Nothobranchius furzeri: one gene and its partner. The protein of the gene in region 1 interacts with the protein of each later gene in a pairwise test. Links are inferred from orthologs where the notes say so. Each region holds a gene or a part of one and is shown in the gene's direction. Other genes may lie near its edges. The genes, in order: eml1 and isg20l2.

Region 1 (3,707 bases):
AGCATTCATGAACTCACACATCTTGGCTCATGGCCGTGGAAGACTGTGTTGATTTTGCACCCAGGAGAGAGTAGAGCATGCCTCGGCTAGTAGAAGCTAACTGTTAGCATTAGCAACATGGCAGAACTCCTTCTGGTTTGTGTTATTTGTGGAGATAAAACTTTAATTGTTGCAGAGCAAATGGAGGCTGTGGAAGAGTTGCATTGCTCTTAGCCAATCAGAAGCAAGATGTGTGCACATCATGAAAACCAATGAGTAAGAATCCTAATCCTGCCCAACACTCTTCCGACTAACTTCTACCTCCTGAAACAGACTCACAGGACATTAATTCAGAGACCAGAACAGGTTTGTTAAAGAAACAAGCATTCGCCCTCATTATCTTTGTGTCCCATCAAAGACACAGCTTGACTTTCCTTATCTGGACTAAAGAAACATCATCGGGGGGTAATGACAATGTTTCTATTAAGAAATAAATCAGATTAGAAAGAAAGAAAATGTTATGTTATGTTTAATGAGCTGCAGACAGCAAACCAGTGATGCATTATTGAATAAATCTCACTGAGGCTGAGATAAATTTGGTTTATTTTAATGAGCTCCATGGATTTTTATGGCAACAATGCTTATGTTTTCTTAATAACTTGCTTCGTGGAAGCCAGATGATGCCGTCAAAGTCTCCCAGGTGAACAGCCGGATGTCTGATGTTTGCATCTGCAGGTGCCTGAGCTGTTTGGTCCAATCAGAACCATCGCAGAAGGCCGAGGGGAGACGGTGCTCATCGGGACCACCAAGAACTTTGTTTTACAAGGCAGTTTGGATGGAGAGTTCATGCCGATTACACAGGTGGATGCAACAGCCTAAAGGTCACAGCTTTGTTTTCCCTGTTTTCTTGTTTTTTAAAATTCTCCTCTCCAGGGTCACGTCGATGAGCTGTGGGGTCTGGCTGTGCATCCCTTGAAGTCTCAGTTTCTGACCTGTGGATACGACCGGCAGGTCTGTCTGTGGGACTCGAACACCCATCAGCTCATCTGGACTAAAAGTCTGGAAGTAAGTTGAGCCAACACCGCCCTCTGGGGTCTCTTATGGGGAATTACAGCTGATGGACCGGACTCTGGATGGGTTAGGGTGCAATTTGCCAAAGGAATATGCAAATCTGTTTTACAGGATACGGCCCAGTCAGCTGGTTTCCACCCATCAGGAGCTGTGGTTGCCGTGGGAACCCAAACTGGCCGGTACAAGAACCATTCAGCTGCTTAATCTGGACTGTTAGTATTTGTGTTAGCATGGAGCTGATAAAAGTCTGTCCCCAACTGTGCAGGTGGCTGGTCCTGGACACGGACTCTAAGGATTTAGTTACCGTCCACACAGATGGGAACGAACAGCTGTCCGTTATGAGCTACGGGCCAGGCATGTTGCACTTCTTCTGTTTGCCATCATCTAAAGCGTGTCTTCTGACACCTCTTATCTAAATCAGGAGTGGCAACGACTAAGCCATGCTGTCCTGTTGCTCCTCATCTTCTTTAGATGGTAGCTTCCTGGCTATTGGTTCCCATGACAACTACATCTATGTCTACGCTGTGGCAGAAAATGGGAGGAAGTACAGTCGAGTTGGAAAGTGTTCTGTGAGCCCCATCTTTTATTTTTATTATCATACCGTTTTAAAAAGGGATGTGAATAAATCCTCTAAACCTGTTGTTTTTATAATCAGGGGCACTCCAGTTTTATTACCCATGTGGACTGGTCCGTGGACTCTCAGTACCTGGTGTCCAACTCAGGGGACTATGAGATACTGTACTGTAAGTACAACCGCTAATCTGGGTCCGTTCACTGTGCTGATCACAGATTAAATCGTTAATAAGTAGCAGCAGGAACCAGGGTTGGTGGTGATTTTTCTTGTGAAACTGAAAGCTGAAAACCCAACATTATAAATATTATAATATTGACTGAAAATAAATATCTATAAAATAAAAACATATTACAAAAACAATAAAAATCAGCATAAATTTCATATTTTCTCCTGATTAAATCTGTTAGATTATCAAGTTAGGATTTAAAGTTGCATTAAAGTCTGGTTGACAGCTTCTGTCTCTAACAGCTCAGTTCTTGTTTGTATTTTTTATTTTAAATCTTAATCTATTATATTTTTAAATGTTTATTTTCATCATTGTTTTTATTTTGTAATTATTTCTATTGTGTTTGAAAGGCCCTAAATAAAAACGTCTTCTTCTTCTCACCTCCAGGGATCCCATCAGTGTGTAAGCAGGTAGTGAGCGTGGAGACCACCAGAGACATCGACTGGGCCACCTACACCTGCACTCTGGGCTTCCATGTCTTTGGTGAGTGACGCTTCAGTTCCTGTCCCTCTTTTGTGATCCTGTGCAAACTTCTGATGATTCTGTTTCTTCTCAGGCCTGTGGCCCGACGGCTCAGACGGAACCGACGTTAACGCAGCGTGCCGGTCCAGTGACAGGAACCTCCTGGCTACTGGAGACGACTTTGGGAAGGTCCATCTCTTCTCCTATCCCTGCGCACAGTTCAGGGTAAGAGGCCACTCATGCAAGAAGAAGAAAAAAGTTTAAATTGCAGGTTATTTATTTAAAGATCTGATTTACGTTTCCGCTCCAGGCTCCCAGCCATGTTTACAGTGGCCACAGCAGTCATGTGACCAACGTGAGCTTCCTGTTTGATGACAGCTTCCTGGTGTCGACCGGTGGGAAGGACATGAGCGTCATGCAGTGGAGGGTAGTCTGAGGGAGCGGACGCTGACACTGAAGCCCAGCAGAAGCAAAACTGTTCTGAACTGCACTAAAAAAAACCAAACTGATGTGAACTCTAACAGAAACGGATCGGAATAACTGAAGCGGTCTGAGGTTCTGCTCACAAACTAGATGAAAAGCAGGAAGTGTAAGAAGCAGCAGCTCGAAACACAACGATCCTCCTTTTGTTCATCTTACTTGTTCACACTACATGTATAGAAAAATCCTCTTCCTCTCATGTTTTATCCTCGTCATCAGCGACACAGAAGGAGTCCAACTCAACAGAACCAAAGGCAAGCCCTAACCCTCAGATCCTGGATCCAGACTGACGGAGAACCAAGAACGCTGCAACAAAAACTGAAGCACGGCACATTTTCTAACCTTTAAACTTCCTTTTAATTTTATAATGAACAACTCAGGAAAGCAGCGGTCAAGCAAAATCCCCTCCCTCTTATAAAACATGTCAGAAAAAAACACCCAAATATTCAGAAGCATCGATCACAGCTAGAATTAGACACGTTTAATAATCTATTATCACTTATTTGTTTAGGTGATCTTAACTAAAACTGCCTGTATTGTCCATAAATAGTTAAATTAATAAAGGTGTGTAATCCGGTTTTTTTTTTGTTCTTTTCTTACACAGTTTAGTAAAAGTTATTTGTTTACCTTACATGTTTGATGCCACCATCATCGACAATCTCTGATGATGGCTAGAGCTACTAGAAGAAACATGTAAGGTAAATAACTTTCACTAAACTGTGTAAGAAAAGAACAAAAATATGGAGTACGGCCAAAAACACGGGACGAACGCACAAAAGAGTATTAAAGGTGTGGTTTACCCATTCATTCAACACATTTGCAGTGTTCTCTAGTATAAACCAATCCCTTATAAGTAATTTAAAATAAAAAAGCTGTGATGCTCCTGTTCTGAGATGCAGAAGTTTGCTGGTGCTG
Region 2 (4,481 bases), on another chromosome or scaffold:
TTGGATGAGATGACAATGAGAATAAATTTAGCAAATGACCAACCTTTTTATGTTTTTCCTTCTCCAGGACCCAAAGTAACTCACCATCGAATCTGGAGGCCATAGCAACAAGAGTAGGATCAGCCTCGATAGCGGTCACAGACAGTCTGAGCCCAAAGGACAGGAAACGTGTTAGGTGACCCTGTGTAGAAATAAACATTAGACATGATGCTAAGTTCATTTTGAGAAGATTTACACATTTGGCTCATGACACACAATGTAGAAATATAAGATACAGAATGATTAAAATGCTACTAATAGAGGATAAAGTAATACCTGCCCAGAGCCCACATCCACCACCCTCCTACAGCCAGTCTGTTCACAAAGTTGTTTAACCAGCTGTGGAACAAAACAACAACTCAAAACACTCAATAAAACAACAACTAAACATTTTATAACCACTTCATAGAGAAATAACTACAGCCAACAAGGATTCCTGTACCATGCCAAGTTTTCGGATCTCATGCTGTTTCTTGGGTTTAACGTGTTTTCTGAATATGTGTCCCAGCAGGGAGCTCTGGCTGTGGTTTTCCAGGAACTCATCAGGCTTCTTCGGCTCAGCTACGCTGCCTCGATCACACCTGGGTTCTCTGGGAAACGTCAGGGCATGAGCGGTGGCACGGAAAGCCAAAAGAGACAGGGGCCACACCGAAGGATACCTGCAATCACAAAGTCTCTGGAGTCATCTCAATACATCAATTGTATTAATAATCAATGACAGTTAATACATGTTGTCCTAAAGCTCCAATGTAATTATAAATTAAGTTAATTTGAAGGTGATTTTGAAGCTGATTATATTCCCGCATTACCTTCTATTATTATTAGCAGCATCCAGTAATAAGTCTGCTATTTGTGGAAATGAAAGGTCCTGCAGCACAGCCTGCCAGGTTTTGGGTAGCGTGTCCCACAAATTTTCAGAGAAGAACTCCTGAAAAACGAGTAAGAAACAGTTCTTTATTCTAAAGCTCCATTTCCTTTGTAGATCATTTGTGTGCACTGTGCATGGTTTTGTCATCTTATCTTTATATCCTGATATTTCAGATTATAAAGATATGCAGGAGTTTATACGTACAATGATAAAGGAGTCGCTCAGGTGGCTGTACTGAGACAGAAAAGTAATGAGTCTGTTCGCCAGCTCTTTTTGTTGCTCCGAAGAAAAACTCGATGTAAACACTTCCACATTTTCTAACTGCTCTTTTGACATGGGACTTGTTCACAGCTAATGCTACCATGCGTTAGCTTATAAAGGCGTCGTTCCTGCTCCAGTTAAAATTATAACTATATAAATACAACTACAGTGTTACCAATTGGTTAAATACCGCAGAAAATGTTTTAACGTGAAGGAAAGGCTAGCAGCACGCTAACAAGAACCCCTGAGGCTAACTTTCAACCGCTTTCAACTGCAGACTGAATGCGTTCACTTGTTCCTCGTAATTTGTTGTTTCAATTTTATTTTTACATATAATCAGTGATCAACCAACAGCTAAATAAATAAAATGCACATACGTTTGGACTTTTTGATGATTTTAATATTTTGCTTCGAAATAAAGGTTAAAAATGTAAAAACAAAGAGGAAATCTAGCCCCACGTTTAACAATAATTTGACGTAAAATCTAGCGTCCCGACGCTATGGATAGTCCCTGAAGGCAGCATATCCCGGATATGGTTCGTTATTGTGAACTGTTCGAGACGTGCAGCAGGTCTTGTTTTGAGTTTTTCTTTGTTATTTCTGTAGCTTTCCTCATAAATAATTTGTTAGTGACTCACGAGAGTGTTAATTCAGACCGAGCCCTATTTTCCGTTCGGTTACCTTCATTTGCAGTTGTAACGATCGCCAGTCTTGGCTTAGCTAGCTAACATTAGCTTTGGTAAACATTAGTTCCGTTGAGTTAACAGTGGTCAAGAGTTAAGCTACTGCACAGTAACAATATTGTCATGCTTACGATAATAAGCGCTTTATAATACTTAACTAGGAAAACAGCAACCAAAGCTCCAAATATACAACGGCAAGGTAAACATAACGTCTCCTGCCGGTGTTCCACCGTTATACGTTGTCCCGTCGGGAATTGCTTCCCCACCCGTCTATACGCTCTATTTCAGTAATCAAGGCGTGCTCAAACGTACGGGTTTTGGTTTAGAAGAATAACACTCTCAGAATAAGTACCTCATTGATAAACAAGTCATTTGTACGTGTACTTGACACGTTTTGCAACATTTTTACCGGTTGAACAGTAGAAACCGTCCATGATTGCGATGACCTGTCATTGTTTCAGGAGCTAAAAAATCGATAAAACTGGCATTACTGATTCAAGTTGTCAAATAAAATGCCTAACGGAGTTTGCAACAAAAGCAAAACTGAAGGAGAAACAAGTTACTTGAAGCTGTGTCAGTGCTAAAAAAAATCAGGGTGAAAGACCAGCTTTAATAGTCTGATCTAGAGCTCAGTAAATATGCTAAATTTGAGCAGACAGCGTTTATGTTGTGGTACATACTTAAAAATTACCTTAGGTTAAAAGCAGTGGGCCACCGTCATGCGTATTTTATGGTTTCTCTGCTTCAGCACACCCGTTTTCAGTTAGCGGCTGATTAACAAGCCTCTGAACAGGTGGCACAAGAGGCACTTAATGGCCAGGATTTGACACCATTGACCTGAAGAATGAGTGCAAAAGGGCAGAGTGATTAGAAACTGAAATCAATTTAAAAAAACCGGGAAAATCTGAGCAAAACCATGGTGGTGAAAATATATAATGGCTACAATATGGTTTTTCAATAACCGGTTTTGTTTTATTTATTCATTTATTTATTTGTTTTTGCAGGGTGTTGCATTTGACCTGGCTTCATCTGATAGCAACCAGAATACAAAGAGAAGGGACCTGTTGAGGCTGTCTGAATAAGAATATCTTTGTGCACAGTCGTAAAAAGGAAAACGTTAGATTTGATGTTAACATGTCAGATCTCACGATCCACATTAGCTCATCGAATGACACCTCACAAAGAGGTCCTCCAGCAGAAAAGGGGAAGAGGAAAAAGAAGCCATTCCATAAAAAAAAGCAGTACTTACAGGCAAAGGGATACCTGAAAGGTAAACAAAATCACAACCACTTTAGGAAAGACTGGGGATACAACCAAACTCACCACCAGAATGGAGCAGGCCCAAATAATCCACAACTTCCCACACTCGCACAAATTAATAGTTTACCACCTAATTGTGCCACCACTGTAAGTGCCTCGAAGTCTTCAGCATCCTCTCACAATCTCCCGTCAATGAGCTTCACTGTGAAAAACGATGGTAGCTATGTAAAGCCAAAGAACTCTATGAATGCAAACAGAGCTGCAGCGGTCCCTGGGCCTTCAGCATCAGGCAGCCACAAAGCCACAACAGCATCAGTGGGGAACCCCACAAAATACCTCGCCATTGACTGTGAGATGGTGGGAACGGGACCCAAAGGCAGCATCAGCCAGCTCGCACGCTGCAGCATTGTGTCGTACGATGGAGACGTGATCTATGATAAGTTCATCAAACCTTCCATGCCTGTCACTGATTATCGCACCAGATGGAGCGGGATTCGACCAAGAGACCTCGAGAAGGCCATGCCTTATGCAGAAGCCAGGAAGGAGGTGGGGAAACAAATCATTAACAGAAAAAGTTTATTTTTTTCCCAACATGTCAACATAAAAACTATCTGATTAATTTTTTTTGTTGCCACTTGAGCTGGACTCCAGTGAACAAGAAACAAAATTTGATCTCCACAGATTCTGAGGCTGCTCATGGGGAAGATCGTTATTGGCCACGCCATCCATAATGACTTCAAGGCCCTCAGTTATACCCACCCCTCTGCCATGACGAGGGACACATCCCGAATCTCGCTCCTTAATCTGAAGGCAGGTTTTGGTGAAAGAGAATGTGCATCGCTGAAGAGACTCACCAAAGCCATCTTCAATCGGGACATCCAGGTATGCAAATTTAGTTGCTATGCTAATCAGAGAATAAAACACAGGTGGAGACCTCAGGAAGACATCAGGCGGACTTCAGGGTCTGAGACAATCAGTTGTGGTTCAGAGACAATATTCTGCAGAATTTGGTAACGAGGCACAGTTTTCACTCAGTCTGCTATTAAGACATTTTTACCTACGGTTCTGATCATTGCAATGCTGGCCAAGTCACTCATCTCAACACGCCTGGACAATACAAAAATGAGCAAAGAGGTGTAGAGCAGAATTTTGAGGATCTCAGTCCGCCATTGCTCGCAGCTACAAGCTAATGGAGGTTTACGGGTGCTTTTAGCCAGAAAAATGCAGTTGAGCGACTAATGTGAAGCATGCATCAACTCACCGAGTTGTTGGATGCTGTAAACTAGACTTATCAAACCTAAATTATTTTTTTGAACCAGGCTGTAAACATGTTTATTTCTGCCATGAAGTTGATATTTTTAATATGAGAA

Evidence for each region.
Region 2: the proteins of eml1 (region 1) and isg20l2 interact in binary tests that used the Homo sapiens proteins (3 or more experiments, as listed by UniProt). The two-hybrid records come from large-scale screens. The link is inferred for Nothobranchius furzeri from reciprocal best matches to the Homo sapiens genes EML1 and ISG20L2.

Annotation. Positions count from the first base shown.
Region 1 is NC_091758.1:30,955,705-30,959,411, forward strand, and holds the end of eml1 (echinoderm microtubule-associated protein-like 1), read left to right. Parts: intron 1-714; coding exon 715-840; intron 841-912; coding exon 913-1,044; intron 1,045-1,161; coding exon 1,162-1,229; intron 1,230-1,315; coding exon 1,316-1,404; intron 1,405-1,521; coding exon 1,522-1,619; intron 1,620-1,705; coding exon 1,706-1,793; intron 1,794-2,237; coding exon 2,238-2,333; intron 2,334-2,406; coding exon 2,407-2,537; intron 2,538-2,622; coding exon 2,623-2,748; 3' UTR 2,749-3,058; downstream 3,059-3,707. UniProt on the Homo sapiens protein: Modulates the assembly and organization of the microtubule cytoskeleton, and probably plays a role in regulating the orientation of the mitotic spindle and the orientation of the plane of cell division.
Region 2 is NC_091745.1:67,407,300-67,411,780, reverse strand, and holds the start of isg20l2 (interferon-stimulated 20 kDa exonuclease-like 2), read left to right. Parts: upstream 1-1,654; 5' UTR 1,655-1,739; intron 1,740-2,855; 5' UTR 2,856-2,985; coding exon 2,986-3,657; intron 3,658-3,792; coding exon 3,793-3,993; intron 3,994-4,481. Other genes in the region: mettl25b (methyltransferase-like protein 25B), read right to left, coding at 44-181, 316-378, 482-698, 849-967, 1,112-1,243. UniProt on the Homo sapiens protein: 3'-> 5'-exoribonuclease involved in ribosome biogenesis in the processing of the 12S pre-rRNA. Displays a strong specificity for a 3'-end containing a free hydroxyl group.